Linked DNA regions of Diceros bicornis minor. The protein of the gene in region 2 interacts with the protein of the main gene of each other region in a pairwise test. Links are inferred from orthologs where the notes say so. Each region holds a gene or a part of one and is shown on either strand. Other genes may lie near its edges.

The links. The genes of interacting proteins can lie anywhere in the genome.
Region 1: the proteins of CEP63 (region 2) and ARFIP2 interact in binary tests that used the Homo sapiens proteins (3 or more experiments, as listed by UniProt). The link is inferred for Diceros bicornis minor from reciprocal best matches to the Homo sapiens genes CEP63 and ARFIP2.

What each region holds. Positions count from the first base shown.
Region 1 is NC_080746.1:64,546,855-64,557,100, reverse strand, and holds the start of ARFIP2 (arfaptin-2), read left to right. Parts: upstream 1-5,679; 5' UTR 5,680-5,784; intron 5,785-6,561; 5' UTR 6,562-6,603; coding exon 6,604-6,702; intron 6,703-6,962; coding exon 6,963-7,059; intron 7,060-7,726; coding exon of another isoform or gene 7,727-7,778; coding exon 7,779-7,897; intron 7,898-8,075; coding exon 8,076-8,297; intron 8,298-8,842; coding exon 8,843-9,000; intron 9,001-9,146; coding exon 9,147-9,321; intron 9,322-9,765; coding exon 9,766-9,921; 3' UTR 9,922-10,246. Other genes in the region: TIMM10B (mitochondrial import inner membrane translocase subunit Tim10 B), read right to left, coding at 4,812-4,988, 5,156-5,251, 5,452-5,487. UniProt on the Homo sapiens protein: Plays a role in constitutive metalloproteinase (MMP) secretion from the trans Golgi network. May have important functions during vesicle biogenesis at certain cargo subdomains, which could be predominantly utilized by secreted MMPs, such as MMP7 and MMP2.
Region 2 is NC_080741.1:18,001,887-18,011,604, forward strand, and holds the start of CEP63 (centrosomal protein of 63 kDa), read right to left. Parts: upstream 4,383-9,718; 5' UTR 4,301-4,382; coding exon 4,104-4,300; exon of another isoform or gene 4,073-4,103; intron 4,038-4,072; exon of another isoform or gene 3,958-4,037; intron 3,566-3,957; exon of another isoform or gene 3,486-3,565; intron 2,478-3,485; exon of another isoform or gene 1,530-2,477; coding exon of another isoform or gene 1,387-1,529; intron 1-1,386. Other genes in the region: ANAPC13 (anaphase-promoting complex subunit 13), read left to right, coding at 6,898-6,996. UniProt on the Homo sapiens protein: Required for normal spindle assembly.

The DNA.
Region 1 (10,246 bases), on a different chromosome or scaffold from region 2:
GACTGAAAAATGTTCATTGAACAAATATTTATCAAGCAGATATTACGTGCCAGGCACTGTGATAAGGATTCAATGGTGAGCAATACAGACATGGACTCTGACCTCATGAGGTATATAATTACCAACTGTTAGAAGGGCTATATGCTAAAAAACATGAGAAATTATGGGAGCTGGAGTCTGGGAAGAGCTATCTGAGGAAACAGTATCTGAACTAAGTACTCAAGAATGAGTAGAAGTTAAGCAGGTAAAGTAAGGGGGAAAGCATTGCAAGCCAGGAAACAGCAGGTGCAAAGGCCCTGAGATGGAAGAGTGTGTGACAGGTTAAAGGAACTGAAAGGCCAGTGTGGCTAGAGCACAGAGAGGCCGAGTGAGGTGTGGTTCAATTCAATTCACTTCAACAAACAGCATTGGCAGTCCAGTGTTTGACAGTCACTGATAAGACAAAGCTGAGGTAGGCAGAGGCTGGATCATGCAGGGCCTTGTAGGTCCTGTGTAGAATGTGTTTTTATTCTAAGAAGAATGGGAAGCTATTGCAAGGTTTTAAGCATCAGTTTGTGTTTTCTGGCCAATGAATGGAGAACAGATTGGAGGGGTGCAAAAGTGGATACGGGGAGAAGCAGAAGTTGCAATAATGCTGGTGGGAGACTGTGAAAATGGAGAGAAGCAAACAGAATCAAGGGATATTTAGAAATGTAAACAGATAGGATTTGCCAATTGAGTGAGGGGATGAGTGAGGTTTCTAGCTTCTGCAACTGGATGAGTGGTAAGCATAGGAGGAAAGTTTATGAGGAAACATGTTGCGTATGGGATGTTTTTGAGATGCCTAAGTGGAGATGTCAATCAAGTAGCTCAGAGCAGAGATCTGGTCATCAGTAACTAAAGCCCAGAGTGCGGATGAAACAATCCTAGAAAAATTAAACCGAAAAAGAACAGGACCTAGAGAAACTTATATTTAAAGGCCAGACACGGATGAGCCTGCAAGAGGCTAAGAAGCTGCAGCCAAAGAAGTAGTGGTACAGTCATGTGGGTGGAATCCCCGAGACCAGTGAAGACTGTCGATGATGAGGAACTAGTCGATAGTAACAGACGCTACCGAGAAGTGAAGTAAGCTGAGGACTTGGAAATAACCATTGGACTCGGAAACATGAACGTCACTTGGTGAACCAGGGTGACCTCCCTAAGAACTATTTCAATAGAATAAAAGTTGTAGAAGTCAAAACAGACTGGGTGAAGGAATAGGAATGGAGAGGGCCAAAGTACCAACTGTTTTGAATTTAGCTATAAAGTGGAAAAACAGGATGGTAGCTGGAGGAGAAATGAGGTATAGACTGTTTTTTTTGTTGTAACAAGGGAGTCTTTAGCATGTTAAACACTGGTGAGAAGTAAAGTGGGAAAAAGTCAGAGATTCCCAAAGGACAGACTAGGATTCAGAGCACAGGAATAGGCATTAACCTTGAGAGGGATGCTTGCCTTGTTCAGACAGGAGAGAATGAAGCAGATGCCAGGTGAGTGACCAAGTTTGGTTGCGAGATGTTGCAGGAGTTCTCAACTGATAGCTTCTACTTTTGCCTATGAAGTAAGAAATATGGTTACCTGCAGAAAGTGAAGAGAATGGTGGGGGGCAATAAGAAGCTTAAGAATATTGGTTTGAAATAATCATTGCAGGGAGAAAAGATGAAAAGAAAAACCTGGTGGGATTACAGGGGCTGAGATTCCATTTGAAGTTGGTAACCACGGATTCATGTTGATATAAATGTGCTCTACAGTGATTTCCTTGGGCAGCTTTTAGCTGCCCAAATGCAGGCACAAATGTTTCATTTCATCTAAGAGTCCAACAAAGACATGAAGCAAGGAAATTTAGCTTATTCCAAGAGAATCACAAGAATTTCAGCTGGATAGTAATCTAAAGGCAGGAAGGGGTTAATGGAAAGAGAGAAGGTAGAAGTGATGGCGTGAATGCTCCAGTGAAATCAAAGAATGGTAGTAGAGGAATAGTTCGATAAACAAAGTAGAAGAAATATTGTCAATGAGTAAGATGCAAGTAACAGTGTTTTGAAGATGGAGCAGTTTGGGCTGATGACGATGGCTAGGATATAACTAAGGGAGTGGCTGGCTAAGACAGACTGGAAATCATTGGAGATTAGGTCAAGGAATTAAGAGACCAAAATACTGAATGGACTGTCCATGTAAACATTAAAGCACCAAGGGGTGGATATGAAGACCAAGGGATAGCTATTTAGAGGAAATAGGAGAGTGGTAGTTACTAAGAACAAGTAATGAGAGATAGTGGTATAGTTGAATAGTCTCAAAGGAATCAGTCTTTGCAAATGAGTGGGCAGTTAAGTTCTAAAGCCGCAATGGTGGGAACACCAACGCTGTTTCCAATGTTTGTGATAAAGGGATAAAGCTTTGTCAACATTTATTCTTGTGTTGTACTTGAGACATCACCATTGCTCTCATTATGCCAATGACTACGGTTTATGGCAAGACCTAAGGGCGAGATTTCCACAACTATGGAAGATGGATGGTAGGAATAAGGTACTTCTAAGTATCAAACATATTTATAAATAGGAGCAAGAACCAGGACAGAAAAGATTGAAAATTTAAGGGACTAATTGATGGATCAGATTGAGGGCCACTTGTTTTTCCATGCCTAAGGACTGGATGGGTGCAGATGAGCAAGCAAATATAAACTGTGGAATTTCAAAGAACATAGGCTTTAGAGTCAGACAGATCTATGTTCCTAGCCCTGCTCCAGCAATTACTAATTATGTGACCTGGAAACACAGATAATTCACAAGGGAAGTTTACTGCAAGGATACACACAAATGTTAATGTAGAAGAATTCTCCCACCAGCAGCACAATATCCCAGGGCCTCATTCCCATCTCTGGGAATTGGTAAATTCAAAAGATGGTTTACTTGCATTTATACTTTCCAAGGACAGAATTTTATTGGGTAGACATGAAGCCAGTCAATAGGAAAGTTCCTGCTCAGCAACTTTTACGTTCCTAATAAATTTTTCTGTTCAAGAGACAGCAGCTAAGGAGGCAAAAAGCTGATTGCAACCACTCTTCTTAATAGGTAACTGTATAAGATGGGCTTCTGGTACATTCTGGATTCTTGCTTCCTCATCTGTCAAGTGGGGATAATACCTCTTACTTATAGTTTTGTTGTAAAGATTAACTAAGATAAAGCATAACATATACCAACATCAGAACCTATACAAACTGGGTGCTCAATAGGTATTACTTTGAGAGGCAGCCTAGTGTAGTAAAAAGCACATGGATTTTAAAGTCAGATCTGCATTTTAATACAGAGTCTGCTACTGGAGAATTTCACCTCCCTGATCCGTAGAGAAGAGAGAACATCTGCTTTGTGGGTGGTCATAAGGAGTTTTTGATTATTCTGGGAACTAATGTCTAAGAGCTTCCATTTCCTCTGTAAAAAATGAAACGTGTTCACCTGATGGGGGATAGTTGAGGGTGAGGTGGAGGATTAAGGAGAGCAGTGAAGGTGTAAAATCACTGCCATGTTGATTAGGAGAGGGAATAGACCAGGAACTCATACAGGGTTGCTTGTTGGTAGTGAGGGCTTGGTTGGGGTTGCAGACCTTGAACATTTAGTGGCATTCATTACACAGCTGTGTTTTCCTCTAACGGCTTGAATGAGGAATAGAAAAGATAAAACAGCTGAAATGACACAAAAAGGACACAAGGGTGGCAAGAAAATGTGTTGATGGAGTGCCATTCAGACTGCTAAGTACAGAAGTAAACTCCACAAGAGGGCCAATAATGAGAAAAGAATGTAGAAGATGGAATTAGAAATCACAGAATGGGTACAGTGGGAACAAGGTGGGGTAGAAGTTAGGGGAGCTAGAATTAGATTACAGACAAGCAGTGAGACATTAAGGTAATATTAAAGAGGTCCCAAAGATTTCGCTTTATCCTTGTTTTTTCCCATAACCACCACCATCTATTTCTCCCTTAGATTTCTCTCCTTCAAGTCTGACTGTATTACAGAATACAGTCCCCCAAGTTTTCCCTTTTCTGACTGCCCCTGAAGACAAGGCATATAGACCTTCTTTGTTTAAAGGTTTTACTGCTCATCCAGGGAAGACACAAAATAGTAACAAAGTAACAACTTGAAGAAATGGTGGAAGTTCCGGAAAACCCCAAAATTCTTACAGGTTTCATCTCTGTCCTGGGGCTACTGACTTCCCAGAAGGTAGTGCCTAAAAGCCCTGTGGTTTCTTGATCTGTTGTCCTTAGATACTGCCTCCTTTCCCTAAATCTGGCAAAATTCCTTCTTGTAAGACACAGTCCATGAAAAAACAGTTATGAAGGAACGCATATCTGGCTCAAAAGTGGGCCGTTTAAGTCAGAGAGGTTTAAGTTAAGGACAACTAGAGAGAGCTCCCATTTTCTCTGTCTTCTGGGCAGAAACCAACTTCCTGTTGCTATTATTAACCTTAAAACTATACCCACAGACCTTGCTTTAACCAGCTGCCTGGGAATGCTGAGGTTTTCCTTCCAGACATAGAAGGCAATTTCCCACCTGCCAGGGCTGAAGCCAGCAGATATGCACTAACTGACAAAACAAAGCATGGTCCCAATAAAGTGGGCAAAGCTTCCCTGCCCAGAATATAAATGAAACAGAGTAAAAGCGGGTTTATTGGCTCCAGGAAAAGGAGCAATGGCACCCAGCTCTCAAGCAACTCTCTCTCTATACAGGCCGCACCCAGCCCAAGGTCTACTGGCTCCTTCAATTTGAGGGTCCATCAAGCGCCTCCCTTCCTGGGGTTGGGGATGGCTAGCTGCCTGATGGCGAGGTTCCGGGCTGTTCAGCAGCAACACCTGGCACAGCTGAGGCAGCCTCGTAGTCTGCGATGCGGCGCTGTACCAGAGCAGGCATGAGTTGCACGTAAGCGGCCATGAGGCGGTGGTTGGAATGGATCAGCTTCCCAGCACAGCTGTGCAGACATGCCTCCTGGAAGGAAGACAGGGTGGAAGTAGAGGCCAAAGGTGTCCTGTCAGGTCCGTCTCCTTCCTTCCCATCCCCAGCCTAGGAGCAAGGGGTCGTGGAAAGGCCAGGGCCAGAGATGGGGGAAGTGAGGGAAGGAGGGAGCAGCCTACCCTCTCTACTCAGGTCCCCACCTCCTCAGCATCCAGAGCTCGGTGGTGCAGGCTGGGCACGCAGCGCTGGAAGCAGAGTTCCGTCATGCGATTGTAGACCAACAGGAAGTCCCGTAACTGGGAGAAAAGGAGACCAAGAACTCAGAGACAAGGGGGCCCGCATCTCAATTCAAGCCGCGCCGCCCACGGTTTCCCAGCACCGAGCACCACAGCCCGACGTTTCCAGCCCTCGGACCCCTGGCTCTTTGGGGTTCCCGCCACGCGGACGTGGATGCCAGCTGAAAGTATACCCCCTCAGCGACTGAGCTCCCACTCACGTTTCTCAGCTGTTGCTGCTGCTGCTGCTGCTCCATCACGCCGCCGGCGCGCGGCTACGTCACTTCCGTTACAGCTTCTCGGTAACGCCCCGGAAGTAAGCTCTCGTAGCTCCCCAAGGAATGAGGAGTTGGCTCAAGGATCGCCCTGCCCCCGGCTGCCAACGTCACCTCCGCCCTTATAATCTGCGACGTGGCCGGCTTCTTCTGCCCGGGAGAGGACGTCACTTCCGCCGAGTCCCTGACCTGCTGCTAGGATCGCGACGGGAACTGGAACCCGAGGTCCCCGCGCCGCCCGGGCCTGGCGCCCTGAGGGGAAGAGCGGCCCGGCCCGAGGTGAGAGGGACGTACTTGGGCAAGGGGAAGTTGAAAGCACAAGCCTGTCCTGAGGGCAAGGTGCCTCTGAGCCCTGAGGAAGGATGAGGGCACACCTGATGCCCAGGTGTATGGGGGGGGCGGGCATTCACACACCTGGAGCGACATAACTGACTTTGAAAGGGATCACCTATATCCTGGGAAAAAGAGGCTTTTCTCAGAGGCCAAGAACAGATACCAACTGATTCAATTAAGGCCTGGGTGTAGGGCAGGAGGTGCATGGCATGGAGGAGGGGGAGACCACCTGAAGGAAAGGGGAACAAACACTAAAAGAGTGTGAAAGGCCAAGCAATGGAGAACATACCTGAATGGGGGTTAGGCACCTGAGCTCTGGAAAGGGGTTCTTCTCCTCATGGGGGGAAACACCTGCATGGGGATAAGCTCCAAGAAAGCACAGACTTTGTCTGTCTCGTTCGCTACTGTATTTCCGTTGCCTCAAATAGTGCATGACACATAGTATGCACTCATTAAATGTCTGTTGGATGATTGAATGCATGAATGATCAATAGAGTCCTGGTGGGGTTGGGAGTCATGAGAAGACACCTGAGGCCTGAGTATGAATGTGTAAAAATATGCGCCTTGGAGGGGAGAAATACATGCCTGAAGAAAGGAGTAGTGGCCAAACCCCAGAACACTCAAGCCCTGGAACAACCTCTCAAACCTATGGAATGGCAGGGGATACCTTCCTCTTCTGTAGTACTGGCCAGTTTCCAGAACTGTCTCTGTTGGGCTTTGCAGGGCGCTGGGGTGGAGACTTTGACTCCAGTCCCTTCCCTAGCCATGACGGACGGGATCCTAGGGAAGGCAGCCACCATGGAGATCCCCATCCATGGCAACGGCGAAGCTGGGCAGCTTCCTGAGGATGATGGGCTGGAGCAGGTGCTTCTGTTTGCTTCTTCTCCGTAATATTTCAATTTAGGAATCCTAATTTATAAACCCTGGGCTCTGACCCCCTATTCCAGTAGGCTTCCCCTAACTTATCTAACTCCCTTCAATCTTTTTATAAATCTTCATTCTGATTCTGTGCAGACTTCCCTTGTGCACTCTCTCTATGATGCTTCAATCCAAGCTTATTCTCATCCCCAAAATGCTTCAGCTGCCCTTATGTTCCTGAAGCCCCCCTCTTCTCTGGCCTATAGGACCTCCAGCAAGTGATGGTGTCAGGACCCAATCTCAATGAAACCAGCATTGTGTCTGGTGGCTATGGGGGCTCTGGTGATGGACTCATCCCCACAGGTATGAATGATCAGAACAGGCCAAGAAGCTTGAGTGGAGAGGGGGAGAGGAATGGTTCTGGGGAGTGTAGTATATATCTAAGAAAGCTTGAATTATGTCCAGAGATCTTGGGAACCTCTGCTAGTATGAACCCTATGGACTCTCCTCAGCCCAAGGCCAGTTACCAGTGTTGTTCAGCTACTCCCACTTGCCATTTAGCCCCTGAGATGCGCCCATTTGTCCTTTCTCTGCTGCCACCACTTGAGTCAAGTTAAGAACTCTGTTTCACAGGAGTTCCCCGTGCTCTGGAGCATGAGGCTGATTTGGAACTCTGTGAGCTTCTCAGAGTTTTACGTTAGACTCTAAAATTTAGAGGAACAAACAGCGCTGAATCTCTCACTGACTAGGATTCCACATGAGCGTGTCAACCAGGTTTCCTGTTATCAAGACCCACCATCCTTGACCTGCCACCCCATACTCAGCATATTTTCTTTTGTTTCCTCTGCCCCTGTACACCAGCAACTCCCTCTCCCCTCCCCATCCAATCTCCACCACCTCAGAAGGAGGCCAGATATATATTGGGATTTGGGTCTCAGGGCCCGAGATATGAGTTCCTCCTAGTGAGTAGGTGAATCTAATTGTGTCTAGCTTCCACTCCTTCAAAGAAGCTGTTTTCATGTGCTGGGAGGGAAGTGTGGGTGGAGCCACAGAGGTGTCTGGTTGTACCCTTGGTCCTTTAGGGTCTGGCCGCCATCCATCTCACAGTGCCACTCCTGCTGGCCCTGGAGATGAGGTGGCTCGGGGCATCGCTGGAGAGAAGTTTGACATTGTCAAGAAATGGGGCATCAACACATATAAGGTGGGATTCAAGCCCCTCTCCCTTCCCCCAAAACTCCCCCTGAGTACCTTTTCCCCACCTTCCAGATCCTAATATCCCATCTGTGGCTAAGACGAGGAGCCTGGGGATGCTGGGGTAGATACCTGTTGGGGAGGCAGGGTGCTAGGGTCTCTGACCTATTCCCCAACTTCCCATTCAGTGCACAAAGCAGCTGTTATCAGAGCGATTTGGCCGAGGCTCCCGGACTGTGGACCTGGAGCTAGAGCTGCAGATTGAGTTGCTGCGTGAGACAAAGCGCAAGTATGAGAGTGTCCTGCAGCTGGGCCGGGCACTGACAGCCCACCTCTACAGCCTGCTGCAGACCCAGCATGCACTAGGTGATGCCTTTGCTGACCTCAGCCAGAAGTCCCCAGAGCTTCAGGTGCCTCAGCCAGGCCAAAGAGGGTGGGGGGGACTGGGCCCAGGCCCTCCTAGGCAGTCTCCCCTCAGCCTCCCTCCCTCACTCCCTCCCTGCAGCCCAGAGGGAGAACCCCTCCAGGGTGGGCCCAGCCCTACCCCCAACAGCACTCACCTGTGGAGTCAGCCTAAGGGTTTGTACAGAGGTCCAGAAGTCGGAGTGGGTGGGGGAGGCAGCACATTAGGTGCCCCACAAGTAACCCTTCTCTGCATAGGTGAGAATGCCTTCGGTGCTCAGCCTAATTGGAGCCCCTCCCTTGCCTGCTGCACTAGCTTTCCCTGTTCTAGTCCTGTGAACTTATCTGAGAACCCCAACCCGACATTCCTACCCTAGGTATCCCCAGGGTGGCCCCACTAACTTTCTGGCTAAGAGCCTTGCTGGAGGCAGTCCTTGACTGTTCCAGTTTCCATGGCTGTTTCCTCCCTGGGGAGGAGGGGAATGAAGGGCTCTACAGTTCTGGTCAGGTAGGGACTGTTACTCAAGGCCTGCCCCCTCCCTTCTGCCCTCAGGAGGAATTTGGCTACAATGCGGAAACGCAGAAGCTGCTGTGCAAGAATGGAGAGACACTGCTAGGGGCTGTGAACTTCTTTGTCTCTAGCATCAACACATTGGTGACCAAGACCATGGAAGACACACTCATGACTGTCAAACAGTATGAGGCTGCCAGGTGTGGGCACTGGCAGGGCCTAGGGTTTGGGGAGTTGGCTGGCATGGGTGGAAGTTTGAGCTTTAAGGGCATAAGAATTGAAGAATGAAAGAAGAGTGTGTGGAGGACAAAGGGGTGGAGACCAGCCTATATCACCTCCTCCCCAGGCTGGAATATGATGCCTACCGAACAGACTTAGAGGAGCTGAGCCTAGGCCCTCGGGATGCAGCGACCCGTGGTCGACTCGAGAGTGCCCAGGCCACTTTCCAGGCCCATCGGGACAAATATGAGAAGCTGCGGGGAGATGTGGCCATCAAGCTCAAGTTCCTGGAAGAAAACAAGGTGCCAACCCCACCCCTTTGACCCAGCCCACCTTTCTGTCTGTAACATTGACCTTTTCCCCAGACCCTCCCCATCACTGGATGGGGAAATGCAGCCTGGCTAAGGAGTGGGATCTTCCCCTAGGCCCCTCAGCCCCTGGTCCTTTCTGATCACCCTCCCTCTGATCCCTGGCCCTATTCTGTTGGAGGATTTGGCTGCTGATCCCAGGAATGTAACTGGGAGAAATCATCCTCTGAGTTGGGGTACCAGAACCCCAGGTCCAGTAGATCAAGTCAGGTTTCTCCCATCGGATTGACCCTTAACTTTTGACTCCCTTGGAGTTCAGCCCCCACCCCAAAAGCACCATCAGAGCAGAGTCCATGTGCCCCTAGTCTGGGCTCAGGCTCGTAGTCCCTCAAGAAGGGCATTTGAGTCCATTCTCAGCTGGCTCTGCTGGACCCCCAGATCAAGGTGATGCACAAGCAGCTGCTGCTCTTCCACAATGCCGTGTCAGCCTACTTTGCTGGGAACCAGAAACAACTGGAGCAGACCCTGCAGCAGTTCAACATCAAGCTGCGGCCTCCTGGAGCTGAGAAGCCCTCCTGGCTAGAGGAGCAGTGAGCTGCTCCCAGCCCAACCTGGCTATCAAGAAGGACATTGGGAGGGGCAGTCCTAGGGTGGGGGAGATTGGACATGGGACATTCCTTGCCACCTGCCCTCTGGCTTGGGTTCCCTTTCCCTGGCTGGGGCCTGACACCAGTTTTGCCCACACTGCTGTGGGTACGGAGGGGGCCTGCAGGCCCAGCAGCTGCTGCCCTGTCCTTTATCTTCCTGGCCACTGGGCTTCATTCCCAGATCTTTTTCTTCTACTCCACAGCCAAAGGCTGTGACAAAATCACTCCCTGGCCAATGGCATCACTCCTCAGGCCTATCCCTAGCTCCTGGG
Region 2 (9,718 bases):
ATTATTAGGTAAAAAAAGCAAGATACAAGACAGTGTATGCAAATACTACCTTTTATCTACGAAAGGAGGAAAATATATATATATGGTGCATTTGTTTTTATGGAAGGATAAATCCAAAACTAGTAAATATGATACTACAAGAAAGGGAAATAGAGTGGAGAAAACAGGGATGAAAGCTAAACTTGTCTGGCTGTAGCTTATTTGACAGTTACTTGTTTTATAGGAAATATGCTAATGCTTTACATATAATAAAACAAATGCAAATGGGAAAAAAAGTAGTATTGAAAAGTTGGAAACAAAATGAAATAAGTCAACTAGACATCAAGTCAGCAGCCTAATCATATAACAAATTGTTTCATATGCCTTTAAAATGCAGTAATTTTACTGTACATATCCCAAGTGAGATATATAAGGACAAAAAAGAACTGCAAAGAAATCCTAAACACTATTCAGGAATCATATTGTTAATAATAAAATTGGTATTGTTAATTTGAAACTGTTAAATATAATATAAGAAAAAAAGTAATTATATTAATGACATTAGATACGATGATTTTCAGCAAAAAAGATACAAATAAAAAAATCAAATATGTAAAGAAAAAACTATAAAATTAAGTTGGAAATATCAGTGTGAATTCTGTATATTACTCTTTTAAAAAATGTATTTCCTTGTTAGCTCAGAGCCGGTCTTCCTCAGCAAAAAGAGGATTAGCATGGATGTTAGCTCAGGGCTGATGTTCCTCAAAAAAAGAAAAAAAAAAATGTATTTCCTGGGGCCAGCCCGGTGGCACAAGCGGTTAAGTGGGTGCGCTCCGCTGCGGCAGCCCGAGGTTCACCAGTTTGGATCCTGGGTGCGCACCGACACACCGCTTGTCAAGCCATGCTGTGGTGGCGTTCCATATGAAATAGAGGAAGAGGGGCATGGATGTTAGCCGAGGCCCAACCTTCCTCAGCGAAAAAAAGGAGGATTGGCAGATGTTAGCTCAGGGCCTATCTTCCTCACCAAAAAAAAAAAAAAAAACAAGAAAAAAAAAAGTATTTCCTATCTTTGGCTGCTATAAATCCTAGAACCAATGACCAGCCTAATAGCAAGAGCACCTCCAGCACCCAGACTATGGTCTCTAAACACTGCTCAAAGGAACCAGGGCTTCCTAGTGGCCAGAAATGTATAAAAGAGCCAGGAAGAGGTTTTACCAGAAAACAAGGAAATTATCAAAGACTACTGGTCATACCAAAGTGGACAGGAGCCAACTTAAAAGGGCTGCCACTGGCCAAAGACAGGACAATGTGAGTATTGTCAACCTACACTAGGTTGAAACAGTTTAAATATATTCAAGTCTGTAAGTTCATGATAAAAAATAAAAAGGCAAAAACCCTCATGGTTACCTTTGGAGGTTGCTAGGCCACCAACTCATTATCGTAGTCTGAAAATAGAGGGAAAGAATTAAGTATTTTTCTTGCCTTTCCTGCACAAACTGTATTTCAAATAGCTGATGGCAGTCAAATAACTGGTGGGGAAAGTTCTTCATAAAAGATTTCCAGCTAATAAACACTGAAGGAATGATAGAACTAGAAAATCACCATTTTGCAACCCCTAATGCAATAATGGTTATAGGCAATCTAAATCCATGGAAAGAATTCACCATCGAGCGAAAGGCTCATGGGGAATTTCATGATGGCTGGATTGGGCTGACAACACCTGAAGCCACTACACTGCTCAATCTTAATATCACAAAAAGAGACAACTGAGACACTGCATGCCTCTCTGATAACTAATACAATAGGATGTGTACTGCAGCACCTAGGAAATCTTACCCCCACCACCAAAAAAAATCAAGGTTGAATCTGATCCAGCTTCTAGATCAGTGCTGTTCAACTGAACTTTCTGCAATTATGAAAATATTTTCTATCCACACTATTCAAATGGTAGCCACTAAGCACCTGTGATTATTGGGCACTTGAAACGTGGATAATGCAACCAGGTAACTGAATTTTTAGTTTTATTTCACTTTAATTCATTTAAATAGCCACAGCTTGCTGGTGGCTACTATAGTGGACAGTGCAATTCTAGCTTTAACTACTGGTTCACAGGAAATAAAGGGAATAGATGTACATGTTAAAGGATACCATGTGGATGCAATCAGCTAAATCTAGAATGTTAAGGGAAAAAAGGGAGGCAAGGACTGCTATATTAAAAGATTTAAAAGGTGTATCAACCAAATGCAACATGTGGATCTCTATGGGATTTTGATCCAAACAAGTTAATTGTAAAAAGACATTTAAGGGACAGTTGGGGAAATCTGAATCCAGACTGAATATTGACATTATGTAATTTTTTTAATTTTCCTAGGTGTGATGACAACACTGTGGTTTTGTAAAACTGAAAAAAAAAAACTTAGCTCTTGGAGGGGAAAAAAAACCTAACATAACATAAAAATCAAAAATTCAGTTCCTGAAACCTATATTAATGTTGGCTTCAGCTGAATTTCAAATCAAGTTAACATTTTTTTTTTTTTTTAAGTAGGAAGCTCTGATAGAGTGGACTACTGATGCTGTCACCACCAGCCACCACTACTACACAAATGAGAATACGGATGACCAAGCAAACGTCTCCCACCTATTAATGGGAGGAAAATGGCATCAGTACAATTAACATACACAATTATTACAAATAATTTTAAAACTTGAATCTACATACATCTTAAAGGGCGGTGTGACTGTCTGAATGTTTATAAATCTCTAACCTATTTTAATTTGTCTTTTACTATCCTGATCAGTGATAATGATATAGTCAAAGGGCAAGAAGCTCAGGATAAAAATCAATCTAAATATGGTACTGCAAGCTGAATAAGAAAATACATACACCTTATCGTTAAGCTACAGCTACGATAAGTAGAAATGTAAATATTTGAAAGTAACATGTAGTTGATGATCCTTATGACGATTTCCTCTTCATAGCTATAAAATAAAATTAAATGTAAGCATGTGGGGAACTGCATAACTACAGGGTACCTACCCTACAATACTGCTTTATTAAAGGAATTAAAAAACTTTTTTCAAAGACCGGTTTAAGGAATCGGATGTAAGGCTCAATGAAAACTACTTTGTGCAAATAAGTGCACTGTAACTGTAAACGGAGACCAGTCACTGACAGCAGACTCTTTACTCTTCTGTTGTAAGAGACATAAGCAAAACCACGCTATGAGCCTAGATTTACTGTCTTCAAATATCTTCATGATTCAAGTGTTCCTACAGAACCGTCCCTTTTAAACTCTCACTCTATCATTTATTTCCCATCCCTGATCCGTATGGAGCAATCCGTTAAGTTCAGGGTTCCCCAACTTCAGTCCTTCACGATTTCTGCCACAGTTCCGTATCTCCTGTACTAACATTAACGTTTGTAAAGCAACTCCCTTGCTAAAAATCGCTAACCTCTCCACCACACATGAACCGGTATCACCCGCCGTCCAGGACCTAAGTCGCACCTTGCTAGGGAGCTAACAGGGCACGGAGCCCGGGCGGGAGGGCTGTGCCGGGGTCCCTCCCCCGGGGAGGAAGCCTGGCTCCGCCAGGGAAGGTGAGGGCCCGAGAGCAGCTCGCCCCCGCCCTTCCGCCCTCCCGGCCTCCCAGCCTCCCAGCCTCCGGGTAGAGGCTGACCACCTGGCTGGCGCGGACGGCGCGCCCGGCACCGCCATAGTCGCCTTCGCGCGGCCGCAGGGCGTCCGCGGCAAGGACGAGGGGCGGGGCGCCGGGGCGGGCCCGGGCCGGCGGGGGCGGGCCCGGCGGCAGGCGGGCAGCTCCGGAAGCCAGTCCCGGTCCCTGGGGCCGCGCGGCCGGCGGCGCCACTGCAGCCAGAGCGGCCTCCAGCCCAGAACCCCTCAGGCCCTCGCCGGCCCTACGTGCGCACATGCGGTTACGGGCTGCCGCGAGCGCGCCCCCGAGCCTTCCCGCCGTTACCTCCGGCCGGGGGCGCGCACGCGCGTCACCGCCAACCTGACGTCCAGCCTCCGTCGCCGGCACGTTCGTTCCGCCCACTGCGCCCTCACTTTGAATTGACACTACGTCCTCCCTGACCTCCCCTCCGCGCCAGCAAATGGGCTCACCCACATCCGGGGATCGGAGAAAAGGGCGTGCGGATCACGTGATGAGGAGGGCGGGGTCTGGCGGAAGTGGTGCGATCTGGGTCGGGTACCGGTAAGGGTTTACCGCGCTGCAGGCCTAGGTTTTGGAGGGGCGGGATCGCGTTGTTCCTCAGCGTCGCGCTTCTCCAACTTCCGTCGGCCGAAGCTGAGGCTTTCATTTCGTTCTCATACTCATTCGCCTATCACACGCCGGGTCCGGTGGAGAGGACTCGCGTGGCGGGCCTGGACCTCCCCCGCTCCGCTTTTGGTACTTCCAGCCCGGGCCGGAAGGCGCGGCGGGGGCAGCCTCACCTGTACGACGGTGGTGGCCTGCGAGGGTCATTTCTAGTGAGGGAAAACGCCTTCCTGCTTTGATCGCGGAGCTGCGCGTTTACAGAGCTCTGGAGCACAGAGAGGCCTGCCCCGGGGGGCGCACGCACCGTCTGTCTGGGAGGACGTGTAACCGGCGATGTGGCAGCCTCCCGTCGGGACCGTTCATGAGCCCTGGGAGCCATGGGACCCTTGCAGGGGCGGGCGCGCGCGCGCCTGGGTCTGGGGGAGGGCCTCCTGCGGGAGGCGACCCGAGAGTTTCTAGACTGACTGGGGATTAGCTGGGGAAAAAGAGTAAAAAGCCTTCCAGGCATTGGGACTGTCACGTGCGTAAGAACAGTTTGTTCGGGAAACTGGTAGTGGTTCGTTCTGTCGAGTGTGGCAAGTGCTTGGGACAGTGGCCGTGCCCTGGACATCGCCTGTCTTGATGCTTTCCACTCTTCCAGCCCCTTAAGAGTGAAGGCAATTTAGCGCCCAACTGTGGAAGGAGGACGTTGATCCGGAAGAGCTGACGCACACTTTGAGTTTGGAGGGAAAAGTAGGTGTTAGTGCTGGGGGAAAGAGGGTTTTAAGTGCAGAGGCTGGCAAGTATGAGAGGGTTAGAGGTGTTTGGAAAAGGAACGGGTGAATAAAGATTGAGGACACATTGGGGGAAGATGTGCTGAGGCATTGATACAAAATTTACACATAACAATCCCTATGCATACATAGCTTGTCAAGCCATGCTGTGGCAGCGTCCCATATACAAAATAGAGGAAGGTGGGCACAGATGTTATCTCAGGGCTAATCTTCCTCAGCAGAAAGAAAAAAAAAATCACTTGGAGACAATTATACCTGAGCAGTGGGTTGCAGAGGCGACCTGACTTGTTTAGTAGATGTTAAGGACAAGAAGGAAGCATTTGAGGGCCGAGTGCCTGCTGAAGCTGCTGTGATTTTAGAAAACTTGACAAAAAGATGGAATCTGTGTGTGACTGGGAAAATCGGCTGGTTTTGGTCACCTTAGAAAATTAAGGAGGGTATCCCCAGGGGCAGAGCAGCAAGGACGAAGGAGTGGCAGCAGGAAAAGGGAGGGGTCTTATAGGACTCCAGATTTTGGAGTCCAGGGACTCCAAAAGTATAACTGGAACTGAGGGCAGGAACTCCTTGTGTGTGGATTTCCTAAAGACAGGTTCCTTGGCTTTCACTTGTCCACTGGGCAGTCCTGGATTAATCGTTGAGTTAAACGTGAAGACCTCATCATGTTCACTGGTGGCAGAAGTAGCTGGGCACCTTTTGCTTCAGTTTTGCCTGGATCCTTATCATGGGGGCAAAACCCTTCTGCCACTACAATCTGTACAGTTATTACAGGTATTAGGGTTACCTTGCAATCACACTACTGGGGACAAGCACAGGCCTGTATGAAGGAGTTGGATTCTGCACCTGAAGATTGTTTCTTGTATGAATCTTCATAGTCTCAAACTGGGAATAAAAGAGTGCCTTTGGTGTCATTGGCTTCCAAGCCATCAGGATGGCTGCTTTGTAGCAGGTGGCACAGTAGGGTGGTGTCTGGTGCCTGTGATGAAGAAGCAAGAGCCCAAACTTGGAAACGAGATGCAGAGGTGCCCTCCAAGCTGGCAGCAGCCGTTTAGGAGAAAAATAGGGAATCAGCTGTAGTCAAGGAGCTAAGTAAGCCGCTTGACTGCTTGGGCCAGGCATGGAAGGGAGTATGGCGTTGAGAATCAGAGGAAGGAACCCTGAAGGGAAACAGACACGAGCAGCATGGGGTACTGCCACTGTTGTTCACCTAGAGGTGCTCCTTTCAGAGCTCAGGCTGGGCGCTGTTTTCAGAAAGGAAGCAGTTTCTTTTACAGGCTCAACTGAGGATTTCTGTCAAATCTGTCGTTGGTCACTTCGTGTAACCCTGTTCAGCATTATCTCAGTGTGTTCATTTAGCTCCTGTGCCTAAGAATGCTGAGATTAGAGCCAAGGCAGGTGGAGACTTTTGTAAAAATGGTGCAGGAAAGGCTAGAGGGGCCAGAGAGGAGACTTGGTTATGCATCAAGGACCCATCAAAGGCATCTCAAACAGGGAAAGGTGAGTGTGCAATTTAGGAGAGAAAAGCTACATTCAAGATGTACTGTGGCCTTGTAAAGGAGGCCCTCAGGTATGTTGGCCTCCTGTCACGCTGTGACACTGGTCTGTCAACTGGGCTATGTCTGATGTCTGTCCGATAACACTGTAAAGCTGAGCAGTGAGGGGGCAGGAGGAAGGGACTGTGATCTTATAAAGTAAGTTGTCACCTGACCCAGGCAAGAGGTGAGTCGTTCCCAGGGTGATGTTATCCCAAAAGACATATCCAGGCCGAAAAGCCTGGGAACTCCGAGTGCGGGATTACGTCATCTCAGTCTTCGTGTTTAAGAAATAACCTCTTTGGCTTACAGATCTGACAAGATAAAGCTGCCGGAGAATGGACAGTGAGGTCCAGAGAGATGGAAGGATCTTGGATTTGATTGATGATGCTTGGCGAGAAGACAAGCTTCCTTATGAGGATGTCGCAATACCACTGGTAGGTTATAGTTTGTGCTGAGGATGATGGGTTAAAGGTATGATCTGGTGGGTCCTGGTAGAGGTAGGAATCAGTGGACAAAAAAGCTAGCAGGGCAGAGAAATCAAAGCTGTGGAGTCCTCTAACCCTAGAAGCCTCTGGAGCGCATTTAGCTCAAGTCTTTATTTGAAGAGAACTGTGGTTCAGAGAGCTGATATGACCACCTTGGCTAGGGGTCATGCCAGGCATGGAACACAGGTCTTCTGAGCCGTGTTCTATCCACCACACCAAAGCTAGTAAACTGGATAATGAGAGTTTAGTGCATTAGAAGGAGAGGAACAAGAAGCAGTGGCATGAGCACTGCATTTCTAACTTCTCTACCTGTGGTTTGTCAGTTGACATTTTTAGAAACTCGCACTCTTGGTACACACACCTATCCCAGGTTCCCTGGAAAATATTCAAAAGACACCTGGCTTTTCTTCTTTTGCATTTAGACCAACAGGCTTCTGGAATACTCTTTTCTTTCCCAATCTCTGGAAAACTCTCCTGCAAGGAGTTTGTTAAACTTCATGAATAAGTTATGTAAAAGTTTTGCTTGTATAAATGCCTATTAAAAAGTCCTATTTATGTCATAAGAGGCCTAACAAAAAACAAGGAGAACAGGATTTAGGGACTGTTTTTCTTTAGAGCATGCCAACTGCCCTGAGAAGAGCCATTAATAAAAAATAGCTTGGAGGTAGATGATCTGCTGCTGTTATTTACAGAGAAATAAAATTCAGCTCACCCACATTTTCATTTAAGAATAGGAGATAATAATATGTTTGATGGATAAAACATATCAAATAATAAGTCACAGCTTAGTTTGAGTTTACAAAAATAGTCAAAAGAGCATAATGAGAATTATAGCTGCTACTTATTGAATACCAGTTTTATGCCATGGACTGAGGTTGAAATTTGACATACATTATCTCTGATCCTCAGAGCAACCTTGCAGGGGTGGTGGTGTTACCCCATTTTACGGGCAGGAAATAGGATCAGAGAGGGGACCTTGTCCACAGTCTGGGTTGGACTTCACACCTAGGTCTGTGAGGCTCCAGATCATGTCCTGTAAACTTTAGTTCATTCTTTCACTCGACAAGCATTTTTTTTAAGCCTACTGTGTACCATGAGACTAATTGAACATAAGATGTAGTTTCTGTCCCTAGAGGTCTAAAGAGGTAACATAGATAAATAGTTATAAAAAGTGTCCTAAGTGGGGGTCATGAACAGCTATGTAGTATTGGAGGTGGTTGATTGCCTGTTGGCTCTCAGGAAAGGCTTCAGAGAGAATGTCAGAAGGGAGGATCAGAAGTTTAGTCAGGTAGACAAGGGCACTCCAGCAGAGGGGACAGAGGTGCAAAGGCTCCAAATTTGTAAAGGCTTTGGGAGATGGTGAGGCATTCAGTGTGGATGGAGAATATGTTGTCATATAAGTAGGCAGAAAAGTTGGGCTCGGACCAGATTTGAGAAGAGTATTTGGTGCCGTGCTTAGACCTCATCCTGGGGATATCCAGGAATGAGTGGTCTTCAGAGTGGAAGTCTGCCATGCTCAGTTTTGGGTTTTGGAAAATCAGTTTAACAATCAGCATTGTTAGAGAATGTCTGCCGTGGAGAAAGGGGCAAGTGACAGGGCAGAGAGACCAATTAAGAAGCTATTGCAGTGGTCTAGGCAAGGGAGGAGGGCCTGAACAAAGATAAGAAAATGGAGGAGAATTGCTGAATTCTGGACATGCTTATGGCAGGATTTGGAGACCATTTGTGTGGTAGGGGATAAAGGAGAGGGAAATTTCCATGCTGACTTTCAGTTTGTAGCCTGGCCCTGTTGCTAATCCATCTTTTCCCATGTCTTGTGTATCAGTTAGCTTTTGCTGCATAACAAATCACCCCAAAACATAGTGGCTTAAAACAGCAGCTGTTTATCTCGTAGCTTTGTAGCTCAGCTGAGAGGGTTTTCTGGTCTTCACCAGCTTGGCTCATCCGTGCTGGACTTGGCTGGTGTTCTGTAGTCAGCCAGCAGCTAGCTGGAGGCTGGGTAATTCAGGACACTTTCACGTGTCCTGGCTGTTAGTAGGCTGTCAGATGGGATCATGGGGTGATGAGGACACAGTGTCCCATTGTCCAGCAGACTAGCCCAGACCTCTTCGCATGGCCTCACATGGTTCCAAGAGCAGCATGAGAGGAAACTACAGAGCTTCATGGAGCTTAGGCCAAGAACTGGCCCCCTGGCACTGCAGCTGCATACTGTTAGCCAAAGCAAACCACGTGGCCAGTCCAGATCAAGATGAGGAGATAGACTCAGACTTTTATAGCAGGAGCTGCAAAGAATTGTGACCATTTTTGCAGTATACTGTAGAGATTTATGATACTTTGTGTTTGTTTTCCAGATGCATACACAATTTTATATGTTGGCATTCGTTGCAAGAGACAATAGTGACCAGATGAAAGACACATTATTTTAGAATGCGTACCACAGATGGGATGAAATTAAGCAAAGTTGCCTGTCTCTGAATTAAATAATTTATTAACCAAGGACTTGTTTGTGCTTTGTCAGCTATAAGTAATTATTAGAACCAAACTTTTTAAGTTTATGTTATTGCCTTACAGTAAATAATTTTTTTCAATTTGTGCAAGCATGTTTGAATCTCAGTCTTACATTTGTAGAGCAAGATGTATATGATTCAAATATACTTGTACATATTGTAAG